Linked DNA regions of Drosophila melanogaster. The protein of the gene in region 2 purifies or fractionates together with the protein of the main gene of each other region. This does not show direct contact. Each region holds a gene or a part of one and is shown on either strand. Other genes may lie near its edges.

Region 1 (4,530 bases), on a different chromosome or scaffold from region 2:
GATTTATTGCATACAAGGCCGTCTGAACCACAATGGTACGTAGGCCCACTTCCTACGCTGAAAATATCATGTCATGTCCTCTTCAAGGGCGAATTACTTTTGTTTATGCAGCATTTGCTCGAAAGTTGAGGTAGGTAGGGCAAATCATTGTCAATAAATAAAAAAGGTCTATAAATAAACTAATGTGAATGAAATTATCAATCATCACAACATAACCATGTCCAAAACAAACACAGCCGGTGAAAAGATTTCTATTGTTTTTAGCTGGGAGAAACCCGATTAAATAAACATAAATTTGTGAATCCAAATAATACAATGAGAAAATGTACAAATACCTCGCTTTTGTCAAAACCTACATTAATGAGCCTATTAACATTTATACCAACACTCTAAACATTAATCAGCTTTCTTGGACTACAAAACGCAGTCTCATAATCCTCGTAAAATGATTGATATCTCTCTTATTAATTATAAGAAACCCCAACAAAAACCATAATTGTTTAGACTTGTGAACAAAATTGGATCCGACTTTATTGATTACGTTGTTAAGAGAACAAATCTTTTACAACTGAATTCATTTGTTCTCGTTTCATTTTTTTTCGCAAAACATTGATCGAGAATTCGATTGATTTCCGATTCGAATTTAGTTCTCGTCGACCTCAGCCTCCTGCTCCTCCTCGAACTCGGCGTCCTCGTCGGCGGTGGCCTCCTGGTACTGCTGGTACTCGGACACCAGATCGTTCATGTTGCTCTCGGCCTCGGTGAACTCCATCTCGTCCATGCCCTCGCCGGTGTACCAATGCAAGAAAGCCTTGCGCCTGAACATAGCGGTGAACTGCTCGGAGATGCGCTTGAACAGCTCCTGGATGGCAGTGGAGTTGCCGATGAAGGTGGCGGACATCTTCAGACCACGGGGCGGGATGTCGCACACGGCGGTCTTCACGTTGTTGGGGATCCATTCGACGAAGTAGGAGCTGTTCTTGTTCTGGATGTTCAGCATCTGCTCGTCGACCTCCTTCATGGACATGCGTCCACGGAAGATGGCGGCGACGGTAAGGTAGCGTCCGTGGCGTGGGTCGCAGGCGGCCATCATGTTCTTGGCATCGAACATCTGCTGGGTCAGCTCGGGCACGGTGAGGGCGCGGTACTGCTGGGATCCTCGGGAGGTCAGGGGAGCGAAGCCGGGCATGAAGAAGTGAAGACGTGGGAAGGGCACCATGTTGACGGCCAGCTTGCGGAGATCAGCGTTCAGTTGGCCGGGGAATCGGAGGCAGGTGGTTACGCCGGACATGGTCAGGGAGACAAGATGGTTCAGGTCACCGTATGTGGGTGTCGTCAGCTTGAGGGTGCGGAAGCAGATATCGTAGAGAGCCTCGTTGTCGATGCAGTAGGTCTCGTCCGTGTTCTCGACCAGCTGGTGCACCGACAGGGTGGCGTTGTAGGGCTCCACAACGGTGTCCGACACCTTGGGCGACGGCACAACCGAGTATGTGTTCATGATCCTGTCGGGGTACTCCTCGCGGATCTTGGAAATCAGCAGGGTTCCCATACCGGAGCCAGTGCCGCCGCCAAGGGAGTGTGTGAGTTGGAAGCCTTGCAGGCAGTCGCAGGATTCGGCCTCCTTGCGGACAACATCGAGCACTGAGTCCACCAGCTCAGCACCCTCTGTGTAATGACCCTTGGCCCAGTTGTTGCCGGCACCCGACTGGCCGAACACAAAGTTGTCGGGCCTGAAGATCTGGCCGAAAGGTCCCGATCGCACAGAGTCCATGGTGCCGGGCTCCAGATCGACAAGGACAGCGCGGGGCACGTACTTGCCACCGGACGCCTCATTGTAGTACACATTGATGCGCTCCAGCTGCAGGTCGCTGTCACCGTGGTAGGCGCCGGTGGCATCGATGCCATGCTCATCGGAGATGATCTCCCAGAACTGCAAATGAGAAATGGAAGTAAAGAATTTGGGATTAGTGCGATTAGGACTTGCAGGTGCTGTACAGCATTTCTTGTGAACATGAGTCAGCAGGAAAATCGATTACTAGGGGGTGTTTTCTAACTCAGTCTTAAGAAAATGTATGAATGACTTGGCCAATGAGTCATCACAGAAAATCAATGGTAGTAAAATTACTCAAAGCCTAGACCATCTGCTGCATACATATATACAGCTAGTATTTATTTGACTGCTTCACATAAATCACAAAAGAAGTTTATGCTTAAGCAACGGTAACTTTTATTTGCACAAGAGTACTGCAGTTGAAGAAAACTTTTACTAATCACTGAAACTCATTTCCAATTCTGCAAGTAATTTGCTTAAAATTTTTCTTCCATACCCAGTGAAAGTTGATGCATGTGAAAGGCAATCTTATTTTCTTGTTTTTCTCTTAACTTATACAGATAACTTCGATACAGAAACCTTCTCGAACAAAATGTGTGATGGGTTATGGAAAGTCAGTCTATATATAACTCTTTATTGATTGGAATAAATGGGCACAAGAAGCAGCCGATGTACATACACATGTCTGGGCTCGGCTACGTGGTTTAGGCCACCCATGTACGCCATCATAAACTCTGTGTATGGGCCGAGCTCCGATTAACATAACTTATTCGCTGCCATTTTTGGTGCGTTTCCACCACCACGACCAGCAGCACCATCGCCACACCAACGATAACGTCATCTGGCGTGGGTTTTCGTTTCGGATCTCGAGGCGCAGCTGTCATTGCGTTCCGCCGACCGATCTTACTCGAATCTTCGGGCGTGGGCTGGAACTGAGCTGTATAACTACTATCTGTCTGTCTGTCTATATGTCTACGTGCTGCCCCCACGCAATGCCGGCGACCTCAGAGCCGGGCTCTGCCACCCCAAAAAGCCCCCCTGCTTCCGATGCGGCTTACATCACCGGTTGTTCGGGTCTCGCGACCCACTCTCGTCTCTGCAAGAGGGAAACGGAGGAGGAGTGGGAGGAGCAGTGGGTACCAGTTGGAGAGAGGCGTTGGCGTTGTCTGTTTGCTGAGAGGTTAAAACTGCAGCTCAGTGCTCCAACTACCGACCATCTGGCGCATAAATCGTCTGTTTTTCAGGGCATTACGTCACCTGAACTTTTTGCGATGGTCGTTGTTTATGTCGCGTAAACAAATAAAAACAATTAACCGAAATAAGTCGCTACACTGGTATTGGAGGAAATGCGTGGTTGACACTCGTTTAGCGAAATGACACCGTCATACCGGATTCTATGTATATAAAGTGTATATATAAATATAGAAATACACATTTGTAAGCCGGTCGGGTCGAAAGCGAGAGAGAGAGATATTGAGAGCCATACTTGGGCACAACAATTCTGATGTTGCAGCTGCTCGGGTTTTAAGGCGTTTCCGAGGGTTGTTTTCGGCTCATGGGCCCATGCCCAGCATGTGGGTATTGATTTTTCGGGCAAGGACTAGAAAGATTCGTCATCATCAACATCACCTTCGTGTCCTGTGCCCCGTTATCCCACACGCATGTGCAGCACCGCCCTTCTCGGTTTCGTTGCTTTTTGTGTGCGAGAGGAAACTGGGATAGAGACAAACAGATGGCAAATTCCTCTATATAAGGTCATCATCTCACCTTGCAGACTCCCAATTCCTACTGCTAAAAGTAAAGTTTCATTTTGGCACATAATGGCCGAAAGAGAACCGAAATCTGTCTATACTATAGTCATGAATAAAAAATAGAAAATTGTTTCATTCCATGATAAGATAGAGAAGCCGCCGAAGTAGCGCAATTTTAAGTAGGGAGCAGAGTGTGGAATGCATGAAAATCAATAGAACAGCTAATGCAGCCTACGAACACATATATCTACATACTTATATCCCATCTACGTATAAGATCAACTCTTATACGTTCTGCGAACCGTTCAACGACGACCGGTTCAGCCATTTTAGGTTAAAATGACGTCATGTTTTCTCTTTAGAAGACGCATAGCGGCAAAAAAAAAAAAATTAAATGAAAAAACCGGCCGACGCTCACACATACAAATGAGCAGCAAGCTCTTATGTGCGTGTAGAAAAGCTATCGTGTTTTGACGATAGAAAAGTACCCTTCACCATCTGGGCAGTGAAATGGCTTTCACAACCGGTGAAAAACTATGAAAGTCTTTCGCCCAAGAGAAAATGACTCATGCATGCAACACGCACACAGGCATACACACAGCCACCAGCGTCGGTGTAATTGCAGACACACCCAACTATAATTACTTACATATGTACATACATATGGGCACGAAGTACATATGCGAATGTCAATGGCCCTAAAGCATTATATCGATCGGAAATTCGGGCGTAACAAACTTTCGTTCTAAATTTTGGACCCCAAATGCCAGAGTAGAACAACAATTTTCAAGCATCTTTGCGAAATCGGACAAATATGCGGTATATACAAACACAGATGCCGGGACTCAAAAAGACCACTCGACACACACACGCACACAACTTGGTATACATAAATGCAAATGTGTGAGTGTGAAAATGCCGGCCTCAATACAAATTTTTGCCACATGG
Region 2 (5,329 bases):
GCCGGTGGCCTCCATTCACGAGCTGACGCCGGCTCAACGGCCGCAGTTCACGCTGCTGTATATTATTCTCATGTACATCTTCCTGCGCGGCAACCGCATCGAGGACTCGAAACTGTACGTTATGCTGGAGATGCTCAACATCTATCCAGACGAAGAACATGGCTACTTCGGCCCCAATCTGCGCAAACAGATCGAGGAGACGTTTGTGAAGCAACAATATCTGAAGCGGGAACGCTCACAGCTAAGTGCTTACGATGATTCCAAGACTTTCTTCCTTTGGGGACCACGTGCCAAGGCGGAGTTCACATTCGAGCAAATGGTGCAATTCGCCTCCAAGCTGCTCAATCAGCATCCCAAGGTCTTCGGCCATCACCTCTCCATGGCCCAAGAAGGAGTAAACGCGGAGTAGAATACCATTCTATGAATAATTTACTACATTTGATCTAACAAATTGAAAACCAAACAATATATATAATAATCTAAAATAGAGCCAATTTCCCATTTATCAGCAAGAAAAGAATATTACGATGATCTTTTAAAAATAGCACGTCTTTTCTATTTATCTAAAACTTAAGTTAATTTACTTAACAACGGAAGCAGAGACCCGACTCTAATACTTGGCATAGTCTGTGTCCATTATGAGCTTGCCATCCTTGTCCTTCAAACGAACGCGGCCGTTGGAGTAGCGCGTCTCTTGGCTGCCATCCGGATACACTAGCTTCACAGTGCCGTCCGGATACTCCCTTCGCTTGTTTAGTTTGGTGTGAATCTCCTTTTGGCCATTGGGCAGATTGAGAATCTTGTCACCATTCCGGAGCTGCACTAGATGGGTTCCATCCGCATAACGCCACTCCTCCAGTTTCTCCGTATCGCTGGGATCCACAATCTTAATGCTGTTGTTGGGAAAGTGAATCTCAACAGTGCCATCCTTGCGGCGATGTTCCGTCTGCCCGTTGGGAAACTCGAGTATTTCCAAGCCATCTAGGTAGGAGGTGTGCCAAGTGTTGGTCTCAGCGTAGTAATACTTCACTGTGCCTTCCCTGATGTTAGTTTCCTTGATATCCTTGTTGAAATAGAGCATGCGCAAGTTCATGCCATCGGCGCTTATCTTTTTTAGATTGCCGTTTGGGTACCAAATGTCCTTGCTCCCATCCGCATTCGTAATCTCCCGCTTAAAGTCACTGCTGGAGTTGGCAGCCGGTGGGGGGGTAGCAGCTTTCGGAGCGGTCACGGGCGGCTGAACTTCCTCCGATTCCACAGAACTACTAGAGGCGTAGCTCTCATCCAGAGCGTATGGTGTTTTCTTATTCCTGCTCAGTGAGCGACTCCGACTTCTCACTTGGGCACTGCCGCTACTCTGACGACGGTTTTGCGCCTCTCGCTGCTTGGCAGGCTTACCAGCAGTGCCGTCCAGAGATTGGGTGCGCCGACCGTTCTCATCGAGGATATCGGACATTGTCGCGGAAGGTAACTAAATGAAGACATTAGTTACATTACGATATACACACAAGCATGCACTTACCACTTTGGGGGCAAGCCGGGCTATGTTTCGATTGATCTCCTGCAGCATCTTGCTGTTGTTTTCGCGGCCAATCTTGACCAGCTCTTGCTCTAGGCGCTTGTTCTCCTTGCGCAGCAGCTCGATCTCGTCACGGTAGTTTCGCTGCTCCTTCTCACTGGCCCGCAGTTGAGCGCGGAGTCGTGCCTGTGCCGAGACATGCGCCTGCTCCTTTTGTTTGAGCTGGAGTTGCAGTCCCTCCACTTCCTGTTTCAAGGCGGCTATCTCCTTTTTTTCCTTGCTGTTTGCATTGCTCTTTTGAAGTCGCATTTGCTGCTCGAACTTGCGTCGTTCCTCCTCAATCTTCATGCGCTCGTCGTGCAGATAAATTTCAGCTTGAATCTTTTCGTCATGGACGCGTTCCATGGCCTCCATGTGATCCTGTGTGCACTTTGCCTTCTCCAATTCGTGTTGCTGCCTCAGGCGAAGGAGTTGGGCATTCTGCTCCTTGAAGGTGGCTATCTCTGTCTCCAGCTCTTCGAGGCGAGTGCGAACGAGATTGGCTTTCTCCTGAAGATCTTTGGTTATGGGTTCGTCTGACTCCTTGCTGGGACTTGACTTCTTCTTCTGTTCCAATGCCTGGAAGAGGGCGGACTTGAACTGTTCAAAGAGCTGAATATTGGAGCCGTCGTTGAGGCTGGTGGCATCGGAGTACTCGTGCGTGTCATTGGAGTCGGAGAAACGCACTCGCACTTTAGTATTCCCCACCTGGATGGGTGTCATTGTGAGGGTCTGATCGCTGGACGGTTCGGTGTCCTCCTCGTCCCCCTCCTGCAGTTCCTGCACCAGCATCTGGTCCACCTGTGGCTGCAATCGCATCTGACGCACCTGCTGTGTGACTACAATGTGATCGGAGTCATCAGCTACTCGGCGACGCTGATCTTTGCGCGCCATAAAGGTTCGAATGCAGCTGGAGTTCATATCAATGTTTCCCTCAGTGGCCTTCTGCTCGAGCAGCTCGAATATGCTTACATTGCTGTCATCTTCCACTCGGATTTGAGCAGAGCGTCTTTGGATTTGCGCTGGCTTTATACTCTGTGTGTCCAGCACCTTGGCCCAGCAAACTCCTGTCATGGGACTAGCTTCCGAGGAGGCTTCATCATCGGCATGAGTGGTTTGTCCCGCCCTGCTCTTCTGCTCTACAAAACGAACTCTGGGCGAGGTGCTCGAGGCGGTTGTGGAGGACGCATAGGAAGACTTTAGATCTGGAGTGGAACTGCAGGCGTTCTTGCCGATAAGCATCTGCTGAAAGCGCTGCTCGTTGAGATCGTCGAGCTGTGCTGAGGGTTTGGGAGCTGGTGGAGGCGCAGGATTGGGAGGTGACTTGACTTGCTTCTTGAGAATACCCTTTTTCATTTGAGGCGTGCGGAACTGAGGGTGGGCATTAGCGAACTTGTATCGCGGCAGGTTTTCCAGGCGCAGCTGGTCGGGATTGATCTTGAACCGCTGCTTTAGACCTTCGCCGCGACGCAGAAAAGGGCGTTTAGGCTTGGCCGGCTGGGGATCAGCCATTGAAATCTCTGGCTCGTGCTCGTCCGGATCCGCCGCGAGTCGCGGCATTTGTATAGAGTGCTCCTCGTCCCACTCCTCCAGCACACTGTTTTCATGGCTTTCCGTTTCCTGGTGTAGCAGTCCCAGCATTTTGTACATATTACGTTGCTCCAAGCCGAGCAAAACGCGGTGATTGGACTGCCGCTCCTGCAGCAGCCGCTTCTGCTCGTCCTGCCAACGACTAAGCGCCGCGAGACGCTGTGCGATGGCCTCCTGGCTCAGAGGCATTCCAACAGGACTTTCGCCAGCCTCCTGCATGCTTTTATATTCGTTCTTAGAATCGCAGTTTTGTTTAGACGCCGTACGCGTAGGGGAATTTAAAATTACGGCAGCAGTTGTCCAACACTGTACCAGTGGCAACTCTGCGGTCAGGGATGGTGCTAGACATGCATTTTGATTAGATTTAATTTTTTATTAAAAATAAAATATTGTACATTTTCTTAAGCAATATGAAAAATTGATTTTTTTCAATCCTGATCCCCTTCCTCCGGTTCATCAAAGTCCTTAACGTTCACGTCTGCATCCTCGCCGTACTGCAAGATACTGTCAATTTGTAGCAGAAGATCGCCCACGCTCTCCTCGTCCTGGGAATCCAACGGGAAAAATCTCACCAAACTGTAAGTGAATAATAAACATCAATATTTACAATTTTTGAACGTCACAAAAATAACCGATTTTGATAAGTGGCAACGCCACCGCATAGCTCGCAGCCCTCGTATCCCACACAAAAGCATTTTTCGACGCGTCGCAAAAGAAAATGTGCTTGTGCAATTAAAATCGAGTGATAAAAACCAAATATAAACCCTTTTAGTGCATCAAACTGCAATAAATCAGTGCGTTTGGGTAAATGGCCGGCGTTTGCAAAAAGGCGCGCAAATAGTGAGCTGACGAAATACCACCAAAAATCCCAACCAACAAATCCCAGGCAGCCAGCCACTAAAAAAATCGCCTAATTTACGATACAAAACACTTTTCGAGGGCAAATCGAAAAACGCTGAATTCCGGGCTCGGGCCAAACAGCGCACCAATTCAAAAATGGAGACGCCCGTCGAGGAGCACGGCATGGACCTGACCAAGGTGTCCGTGGTGCGCTCCGCCAAGGGCGTGGATATGCTCTGCGTGGACGACTATCTGTACCACTTCGATCGCATCGGGCGGAATAACACCTACCGATGGCTGTGCAACAGGCGCAAGGACAAGTCCACTCCCTGCAAGTCCCGCATCTGCACCATGCTGCCCGATCCGCTGGACAAGACGCGCCACGTCGTCGTGGACGTCGTTCTGGCCCACATCCACCCGCGCTGCAGCGATCACGAGGTCAACAAGGTGGCCCAGCGCAAGCGGCTCTCCGTAATGATGATGAACGACGCTTACAGCACCACCCAGCCGAAGAGAGCACGCCTGTACGAGCGCGCCAACGCCGGCATGAATCCGCCGGAGTTCATCTACGGAAGCATCGACACCTCCACCGTGGAGGCCTCGTTCCAGTTGGACTTTGAGGTACGGCCCCAGGCCAACTGTACCTGGCTCATGCCCCTGAATACTCAACTCAACCATTTATTTAGAATCTAGCTGGGTCTCTTTTTCAGAAAGAACATTGATATTAATATTGATTCATATTTCGGTAACCACCGCTACTTTGAACATTTGATAATGTAAAAAAAAGGTTAATTTGCTCACCTTAGTAATGAGATGGTTTCCCGCCAATTTGTTTTTTATATTTATTTTCCTATTTGCAAATCCACCGGCTAGGCCGTTAAAAGGACAATAAATACCAAAGCTTAATCATTTATGATTCAAAAAATACTATATATCTCCAAACGAAACTAAATATTAGGGATTTTTGAAAAAAATGGGACCCAATCATTTTATAACATGCACCCTACTGAAGGGAATATCCAAGGGAATGAAATACTTTTGAACTTACACTTAACTTAATTTTACACCTAAATAGATTTCCCATGATGTACCATTTTTAATTCATATACAATTTTACAGCACAAAAATGACTAACACGAACTCTAATTCCGCAGGACAAGGATCGTGTGTACATGCTACGGCGCCGCGACGGCCGCGTGATGGTCTGCATCGACGGGCATCTGTACTACCTGGCCGGGAAATCCTACAAGGGCGACATATTCCGATGGACCTGTGTGCGCAAGCGTGACATTGAGTGCACGGCCAGGATCTGCACGGAGGCGACTTTGGCGGGGGCACATC
Region 3 (4,513 bases), on a different chromosome or scaffold from region 2:
TTACAGTGGTTTTGGTCTCGGCCTTCTTGGCTTTTTTGGTGGCTGGAAAACAAAAGTTGAGCATGGTTTGCAAGCTTTTTAATACGGCAGCTCCACCGCAGCCGGATTGCTCCGCTAACATACTTTTCGATCCACTCTCCTCATCGACATCGGGTTCTTCAGCCTTCGCAGCCGCCTTTTTTCGGCCTCGAGCTGCAAATAGAATATGATTAGCGTGGCATTGATATTAAAGTTATTGTTGACAATGTGCCCACCTGGTTTACTTTCCTCTGCTGCCTCCTCAATATCTTCGACATCCTCTGCCTTGACTGGAGCCTTTTTCCGTCCTTTAGCTGCGGATTAAAGATAGTTAATCATGGTTTCATCATTTACATTGATTTGACAGTTTCCCACCTGGCTTGGTTTCAGTAGAGGGCTTGGCTTCTTCTTCAACTACACCGTTTTCCTTATCGGCGGATTTCTTCTGCTTCTTCCCGGGTGCTGGCTCCTTGCCTTCCTTCTTAGCGCGCTGTTTAGTGGGCTTTGCCTTGGTCTTTGGCTCAAGTTCTACCGCAGTCTCACCATTGGTTGTTTTCTTGGCGCGTTTCTTGGGTGCAGCTGCAGTTTTTGGAGGCGATTCCACTTCTTCTTGTACTGATTGAAAATCTCCTACAGTCTCGGGCGATGGCTCAACCATCTTTCCCTTCTTTGCTCGCTTGCTAGCAGCCTTTGGCGGCACCTCATCCACTTCCGGCTCATCGAGAGCAGCTGCGATCTCAGAATCTGCCAAACGCTTGGTTCCGCGTGCCCGCTTGGCAGCTGTCTCAGCTTTCTGCACCTTCTCTTTGCTTATTGTCCCTGGTTCAGCTTGCTCCTTTAACGTTGGTACTGCTTCCTTTCTTGCCCGTTGTTTCGGCGGCTCTGCTGCTTCCTCGGCCCCTCCATTTGCTTCTGCCGGCAGCTCCTTTCGCTTCCGTCCTTTGGCCTGGGCATTCGTTGGTTTCTCAGCCTTAGCGCGTCCCTTAGGCGGTGAAGACGTCACTTCGTCAGGAGCAGGAGTGGGCTCTTTTTTGGCACGTGGCTTAGTTGCCTTTCCAGCTGGTAGATCGACTTTGGGTTCTGGTTCTGCTTCTGCAGTTGCCTTCTTGGCGCGTCCCTTCGGCTTGGCCACCACCTCCATCTGGCCGTTTTCGTCTGTATCCTTCGGCTGCTTCTTCTTGCCACGCGCGGCTGCAGTGGGCGCCTTTTGTGGCTCGACTTCCTCGGAGTTTTCCGCAGATACAGCCGTCTTGGTGGCTTTCCTCGCGCGCGGCTTTCCTTTTGCCGGCACCTTGAGTTCCTCAGCGGCAGAGTCTGCGTTTTCGTCGACTCCATTCCCATTGGCATTTGGAGTGGGGTCAGTGGGTTCAGATGCCAACGCCTCTGCTTGTTTTTTCACGGCCTTGACACGCGGCATTATGGAGTTCTACTGCTCGGACTGATAGGTTCTCAAAAATGACTTGTATTTACTTCCACAGATTTCCAGCTTTTTCTTTTGCTTGTTTTGCAGAGCCACTGTCGCTTGGTTCAGCACCCGATATCAACAAAAAGAAAACTGCGCGGGCAACGCGATTTTTGCAAGCCGGTCGGCTTGACTTTGGTCTGCTTACAACACTATTTGTGTGCCTTCCTTGGAAAAACACGACTGTGGAGCAAATATTGCACATTGTGACGTCACTAGTAGTACAAATAGTTCGACGTCATTAGTAGTACAAAATGGGTGGAGCTCAATAACCTAATTGAAAAACTTTCTTATAGAAAATTATATTCAAGTTAAGCTTAGTATTGAACTATTAGATTGATATTCATGACATGTTTCGATCTTTCTAACTCATAGTCTTAGATTTCCAACACTTTTTTGCCTTTCCAAAATACAAAGTAGAAAAATGTAATGTTTATTTTTATTTATTTAATTCACAATAAAGGTCTTAAGTAATCATATATATTTTATAACAGAGGGCACACTGCGCCACCTTTCAAATGAGGACGCCATTAAACGCTGCGGTGTTATCAACACTGGACTTTCTTAAAATTACAAAGTACGTCCCCGCTGTGGGATTTTTTAAAAATTTTGTTATAATTCGACGATCTTTTAGTTGTGTTTTATTTTATTTCGACTAATTCGACCTTAAACGCGAAACTTCACTTGACGATTCTGGCCGGAAACAACACACCACAATGCCAAGTGAAATAATTACTTTGCAGCTTGGGCAGTGCGGCAATCAAAGTAGGTTTCTGAAATCAGGACGAGTACCATCTGCATTGCTAAAATCGTTTAAACGCAGTTGGCTTTGAGTTCTGGAAAAGATTGTGCCTGGAGCATGGCATCTCCCCTAGCGGCGTGCTGGAGGACTTTGCCAATGATGGCTTGGACCGCAAGGATGTGTTCTTCTACCAGGCGGACGACGACCACTACATACCCCGCGCGGTGCTCTTGGACTTGGAACCGAGGGTGATCAATACCATAATGGGCTCGGTCTACTCCAAGGTGAGTCCTCTCTAAATAACTTTTAATTTTTTGCGCCAAACCTACTATTAACTCCCGTAGCTCTACAATCCGGAAAATGTGTACCTATCCAAGCACGGAGGCGGTGCGGGCAACAACTGGGCCTCAGGCTATAGCCAGGGCGAAAAGCTGCAAGAAGAGGTATTCGACATCATTGACCGTGAGGCAGATGGAAGCGATTCGTTGGAGGGCTTTATACTTTGCCATTCGATTGCTGGCGGAACGGGATCGGGAATGGGCTCCTTTATCATGGAGCGCCTGGCGGACCGCTATCCCAAGAAACTTATCCAAACATTCAGTGTGTTTCCCAATCAGGACGAGATCAGTGATGTAGTGGTGCAGCCATACAACTCCATGCTCACCCTGAAACGTTTGACTACGGCTGCGGACAGTGTGGTTGTCCTGGACAACACTGCTCTTAATCGTATTGCCTGCGATCGCTTGCACATTCAGAATCCCAGCTTTTCGCAGATCAACAACCTGGTCTCCACCATAATGAGCGTCAGCACCACTACGCTGAGGTATCCATCCTACATGAACAACAATCTCATTGGGCTGACGGCTCCTTTAATCCCGACGCCCCAGCTGCATTTTCTCATGACAGGCTACACGCCGCTGACTAGCGATTCGGATATCCATACCCAGCAGCTGGTTAATGTGCGAAAGACTACTGTTCTAGATGTAATGCGGCGTCTGTTGCAGCCCAAGAACATGATGGTGTCCACTGGTCCCGACAAGTCAAATCATCACTGCTACATCTCCATTCTAAACATTATCCAGGGCGAGGTGGATCCCACTCAAGTGCACAAGTCACTGCAGCGCATCCGCGACCGCAAGATGGCCCAGTTCATTCCCTGGGGCCCCACCTCTATCCAGGTAGCCCTTTCCCGCTCATCGCCCTACGTGCAGAGCAACCATCGAGTGTCCGGACTGATGCTGGCCAACCACACCAGCATTTGCTCGCTTTTCGAGCGAGCTCTCAACCAGTATGACAAGCTTCGCAAGCGCGGCGCCTTTCTTGACCAGTTTCGACGCGAGGACATCTTCAAGGACGACCTCAATGAGCTGGACGAATCTCGCGAAACTGTTGACTGCCTGGTGCAAGAGTATGAGGCAGCCACGCGTGAGGACTACATGCAGTTTTCAGTGAAGCGGGGAAATGGGCCAGTTGACTCCAAGTCGGAGGATAGTCGATCTGTGACCAGCGCCGGTTCCTAGTTCGCTTGTGCCAGAAGAAATGCGTGCCATGCATCTTAACCAATGTATTTTAAAATGTAATATTCTCCAATGACGATGGGATTCGAAATCCTTAAGTAGTAGTGATAAGACGATTGTTGGTATGACTCGCATGTATGTAAACGCTGTTTCGTCTTTTACGATATTTAACGTTCGTATTTCCATTGTTGCAAAATTACACATGAGATTTCCCGATCATGTTTAATATGTGACACATTAAATAAAAAACAGTTTTTAAATGTGGTAGTGAGTGTTTATTGAGAAGTATATTACATATTTCTTTGGTGTATTTTATAATATGAAATCCTTATGGTTAATGTCGACTTGAGGCAGTATGAACTGATATTGCAGTGAGAATTCACTTGTGAAGCTGCACGATACTGCTGTCCTTGTTCCGTTGTCATGTCATTTCGTATGTCAAATATGTTTAGGGTGTGTTATTCAGTTTAAAATGTTCCTATTGTATTGAAGAAGAAAAGAGTTAGATATATAAAGCACATTTTATAAATCAAGGAAGTTTTTCGTTACCATGAATCCCGTTACCCATCGGCTTGCTTACAAGGAGCATGTGTCTTCATTAACCACCTCAGCGTTGCAATTCTCTTCCTCCTGATGAGGCTCTTCGCACTCCTCGCCCTCCGCTTCAGGAGTGACCTCTACATCATTGCTCTTCTCGCCCGGCTCCTCTTCAATGAACTCCACATCATCGTGTTGCTCTTCAGCTGCCTCTTCCACCTCATCATGATCTTCAGT
Region 4 (4,192 bases), on a different chromosome or scaffold from region 2:
ACATGATCTTCCAAGTGAAAGGAAAGCTAAGAATTAATCATATAAATTGTTTTCACTTACGATTTTATTTTGTCTTGGGGAAAAGCGTTCAGGGTATCCTAATTTCCTTCTAAAAGGGCAGCTAAGTGGACTTTAAACCAAATTAGATTGTTCTCTATGCAATGTGAACTAAACACTTACATTTGGCCTATTTACAGAAATAGGATCTTAGAAACAACAAAATAGGTACCGGAAAACGTAAGACACAAACTATTTTCAAAGGTGTTAACACATCGAATTTTGGAATACGAATGGAAAATTCATTTCGCTCAGTCTGTTACGGGGAAATGTGAAGTGACATGAAAAATCAAAGCCAATATGACTATAAAAATGTACACATATCAAGATACATGTGGATGTGGAATTAGTGATTGTGTTGACCAACTTTAAACTAACTAACGAATAAGTAAATTTTAGTTATTGTATATCCTTAGTTGAATAAAAAACCCTTTTTTTCACACAAAAGTTGATATCAGAACTTTTGTGTGTTGAGGTGTGATCGTTACTACTTCCTACCTCGTTCAGAGTTATTTTTGCTTGATTTATGTAAGTTGAATCATTCCTGGAAACTTTTATAATTCCTAAATTGATTATAAAGTATTTTAAATACATATATTATTGTTGATAAAAAAAATAAAAAGTATTGACGGTTGAATTATAAATAATTATCGATTAACCGGCTTTCGAAGCTTCGACAGCAGGACTCCACTGGGGATAATCGATCTGGGTGGCTGCCTCATATTCCTGCACCAAGCAGTCAACCGTGTCCCGTGCGATGTCCAGTTCGGTCAGGTCGTCCTGGAACATGGATTCGCGGCGAAAGTTGTCGAGGAAGGCGTTGCGCTTCCTCAGCTTATCGTACTGGGCCAAGGCCCTCTTGAAGAGCGAACTGATACCCGTGTGATTGGCCATCATCAATCCGGATACCTTGTGGGCCGACTGCACATAGGGCGAGCTGCGCGGCAGAGCCACTTGGATGCTGGCCGGACCCCATGGTATGAAGTTGGCCAGCTTTCGCTCGCGGATGCGCTGCAGCGACTTGTGCACCTGGGATGGATCCACCTCGCCCTGGATGATGTTCAGTATGGAGACGAAGCACTGGCGGCTCTGCTTGTCCGTCAGCGCGGAAACCATCATGTTCTTCGGCTGCAGAAGGCGACGCATTACATCCAAAACGGTGGTCTTTCGAACGCTTGTCTTGGTCTGAAAGTGGTTGCCTCTTTTTATTTGCATTCCCATTTACATATGTCATATCATCATACCTCGCAGTCGGACATTAGCGGAGTATATCCCGTCATCAGGAAGTGCAGCTGGGGCGTGGGAATGAGCGAGGCGGTCAGACCGATGAGGTTGTTGTTCATGTACGAGGGATATCGCAGGGTGGTGGTGCTCAGACTCATGATGGTGGACACCAGATTGTTGATCTGCGTAAAAGTGGGCGTTTGGATGTGCAATCTTTCGGTGGCGATGCGGTTCAGTGCGGTATTATCCAGCACCACCACACTGTCCGCGCACTTGGTCAAACGCTTCAGGGTAAGGATCGAGTTATATGGCTGCACAACCACGTCGCTGATCTCGTCCTGATTGGGAAAAACGCTGTACGTCTGTATGAGCTTCTTGGGAAAGCGTTCGGACAGCCGTTCCAGGACATATGAGCCCATTCCGGACCCAGTTCCGCCGGCTATCGAGTGGCAGAGCACGAATCCCTCCAGCGAATCGCTGCCATCGGCCTCGCGGTCCAGAATGTCGAACACCTCCTCCTGCACCTTCTCACCCTGGCTAAAGCCGGACGCCCAGTTGTTTCCTGCTCCACCGCCGTGCTTGGAGAGGAACACATTCTCCTGGTTGTACAACTGCAAAGGGGAAACACATATCCATCTACATAGTTTTTTAAATGAAATACATAAAATAAAGTAGATTAGATCAGAATCCGATCCAATAAGACCAGTTTCCGCACTGACCTTGGAGTACGGAGAGGTCATGATGTTGTTAATGACTCTGGGCTCTAAGTCTATGAGAACGGCCCGCGGTATGTAATGGTTGTCGTCCGCCTGGTAAAAGAACACATCCTTGCGATCCTGTCCATCGGTGGCGAAGTCTTCCAGGACGCCATCCGGGGAGATGCCGTGCTCCAGGCACAATCTCTTCCAGAACTCGAAACCAACTGCGGAATGGAGTGATCTCGATCAAGCCGGAGCTTCTCTTAACTTCGATTTCGACGTGAAGAACTTACTTTGATTGCCACATTGGCCCAATTGAAGGGTTATAATCTCGCTGGGCATTTTGCTCGAATTGCAGTTTAGTTAATTTCGCTTCTTTCTCAGTAAATAATAACTGTGCATCGAAGGCCAACTGGAGATGGAAGTGGAAGTCATTAATATCGATATACAAGAAGTACAATACAACAGTAAGTTATTACCTATTTTTCTTTACTAATCTTTATGATTTATTTAATGTTATTGGACTTATAGAAAATACTTAGAATTAAGATTTGATCCATTTTTTTTTTAAATATTTAGGTTCAAATAAATTAGCCATAGTTATATATTTTTTATGTTTTCATTTACATAAAACATTAACTGTTATTTTTTTAAATTTAAAGGACTAGCTTTTTCAATTGTACAGCACACCCTGTGGCTGCGAGTAACGGTTCTCGGGAGTCGTTATTTTCTGAGAAGCGCGCAACGTGCACACTGGCAGGCTGATTGAAAAAATTCGTTGCAAATGTTTATGTACAAATATTGAATAAAAAATAAAAATGCTGCGGCAGGAGAACTTGGCAGCCAACTTCTGCGGTCTCCTGGCCAGCCAGGGCTATAAAGGTGAGTTCGTATTTCGCCAATTTACTCCGAGCCTCATGGATGTCCGTAAAAATCGCAGAGAAGGCAAACGAGTGGCGCATTTTGGGCCAGGAACAGGATGGATCTCTGCTCACGTCCTGGATATTCGAGTACGCGGACGAGGATCAGCGCAAGGAGACGTGCATTGGCCACTTTCACGCCACCAAGAAGCAGCTGCGACTCCTTTGGACCCTCGACAATTGCCGTGAGATCGTCCAGGCAACGATTAACAGCAGTGTCACATTGCTGTCCTTCGTGGAGAAAACTGAGGGCAAGCTCTATCAGGCCTTTGTCGTGGAGGTAAGGAGCTCCGAAGGTGGCACGGCCACGCCCCTCAACTCGGAGCCCTCCAACCGCCAGATGATGACGCAGTTCCTGTGGCGCGTCGAGAGTGCCACGCGCACCTGCTGGCAGGACAAGCTACTGGTGCTCACCCACGAGGAATGTAGGTGTCATGTATATGTCATTATCCACCTCTAACTCCCATGCTCGTACCTGTTTTTTCTAGCCATCAAGCAGTACAGCTGCGTGGTCAAGCAGAGCTCCACCACATGCTCGACTGGCGGAGGCGAGGGCAGCGCCTGGAGGCTAGACACCAGCATACTGACCTACGAAACGCTGGCCAGGAACTTTAGCTGGGCCCAGTGGGATCCCGAGTGCCAGGCTCTTTATTACATTCACTTGAAGCCGAAGGCCAAGAGCCTCAGTCTGCTGGACGAGAGGGAGGAGGCTGGCGAGCAGACAACTCCTACTTTAAGCCCCACGCTCTCCGCCTTTCAGTTTAACGAAAAACAGCCAACGGAAACAGTGGTAGGTACTTAAAGATTAAAGTATTACGTATAGGTGTAGTTACATCTTTCTATTGCAGCTTAATATACCCCTCAATTTGCCAAAGCTGCCCAATGGCTCCAAAGAGGAATCGCCAAGCTACGATGACGATGCGGTTCCCTTGCGCGTGCACGATAGTTCGCTAAATCTCATCATACTGGCGGACACCTCGGGCATGTTTTTCGTCTGTCACTACTACCTGTACCAGCCGATGCAGTCGGAGCAAAGGGATGTGCACTTTGCCTACTCGGTGACTTTGCTTCACCACGGCTATGTGGTGCACTGCGTCATGCCCGGTGTGCCGTGGCAAAAGGCCCGTCTGCTGAGGCCAACATTTGCGCTACACGGCCAGCATCACTTGCTGGTGTCGTCCGCCTTTTTTGTCCACCTCTTGGACGTGGGACTGCAGCACGAACCGAACTGCCATATCGTGTGTGCAGCCCACAATCGAAGTCCCGATATCACACAGCTGGTGCCTTTGCGAA

Evidence for each region.
Region 1: the proteins of Sas-4 (region 2) and betaTub56D purify together in Drosophila melanogaster (affinity purification with western blotting, with the first as the bait; 2 studies listed by BioGRID). This does not show direct contact.
Region 3: the proteins of Sas-4 (region 2) and gammaTub23C purify together in Drosophila melanogaster (affinity purification with western blotting, with the first as the bait; 4 studies listed by BioGRID). This does not show direct contact.
Region 4: the proteins of Sas-4 (region 2) and gammaTub37C purify together in Drosophila melanogaster (affinity purification with western blotting, with the first as the bait; 4 studies listed by BioGRID). This does not show direct contact.

Annotation. Positions count from the first base shown.
Region 1 is NT_033778.4:19,446,817-19,451,346, forward strand, and holds betaTub56D (beta-Tubulin at 56D), read right to left. Parts: upstream 2,784-4,530; 5' UTR 2,595-2,783; coding exon 2,511-2,594; intron 1,931-2,510; coding exon 644-1,930; 3' UTR 503-643; downstream 1-502. UniProt on the Drosophila melanogaster protein: Tubulin is the major constituent of microtubules, a cylinder consisting of laterally associated linear protofilaments composed of alpha- and beta-tubulin heterodimers.
Region 2 is NT_033777.3:7,149,446-7,154,774, reverse strand, and holds Sas-4 (spindle assembly abnormal 4), read right to left. Parts: upstream 3,409-5,329; 5' UTR 3,368-3,408; coding exon 1,523-3,367; intron 1,472-1,522; coding exon 611-1,471; 3' UTR 556-610; downstream 1-555. Other genes in the region: MAGE, read left to right, coding at 1-409; gfzf (GST-containing FLYWCH zinc-finger protein), read left to right, coding at 4,145-4,609, 5,143-5,329; CG2656 (uncharacterized protein), read right to left, coding at 3,577-3,724.
Region 3 is NT_033779.5:2,970,863-2,975,375, forward strand, and holds gammaTub23C (gamma-Tubulin at 23C), read left to right. Parts: upstream 1-2,028; 5' UTR 2,029-2,196; coding exon 2,197-2,245; intron 2,246-2,303; coding exon 2,304-2,506; intron 2,507-2,566; coding exon 2,567-3,742; 3' UTR 3,743-3,996; downstream 3,997-4,513. Other genes in the region: Rrp1 (recombination repair protein 1), read right to left, coding at 1-192, 255-332, 394-1,435; CG9641 (uncharacterized protein), read right to left, coding at 4,316-4,513. UniProt on the Drosophila melanogaster protein: Tubulin is the major constituent of microtubules. The gamma chain is found at microtubule organizing centers (MTOC) such as the spindle poles or the centrosome, suggesting that it is involved in the minus-end nucleation of microtubule assembly.
Region 4 is NT_033779.5:19,183,332-19,187,523, forward strand, and holds gammaTub37C (gamma-Tubulin at 37C), read right to left. Parts: upstream 2,396-4,192; 5' UTR 2,322-2,395; coding exon 2,273-2,321; intron 2,204-2,272; coding exon 2,001-2,203; intron 1,893-2,000; coding exon 1,302-1,892; intron 1,243-1,301; coding exon 712-1,242; 3' UTR 532-711; downstream 1-531. Other genes in the region: CG46059 (uncharacterized protein), read right to left, coding at 1-4; pigeon, read left to right, coding at 2,798-2,861, 2,920-3,324, 3,388-3,689, 3,748-4,192. UniProt on the Drosophila melanogaster protein: Tubulin is the major constituent of microtubules. The gamma chain is found at microtubule organizing centers (MTOC) such as the spindle poles or the centrosome, suggesting that it is involved in the minus-end nucleation of microtubule assembly.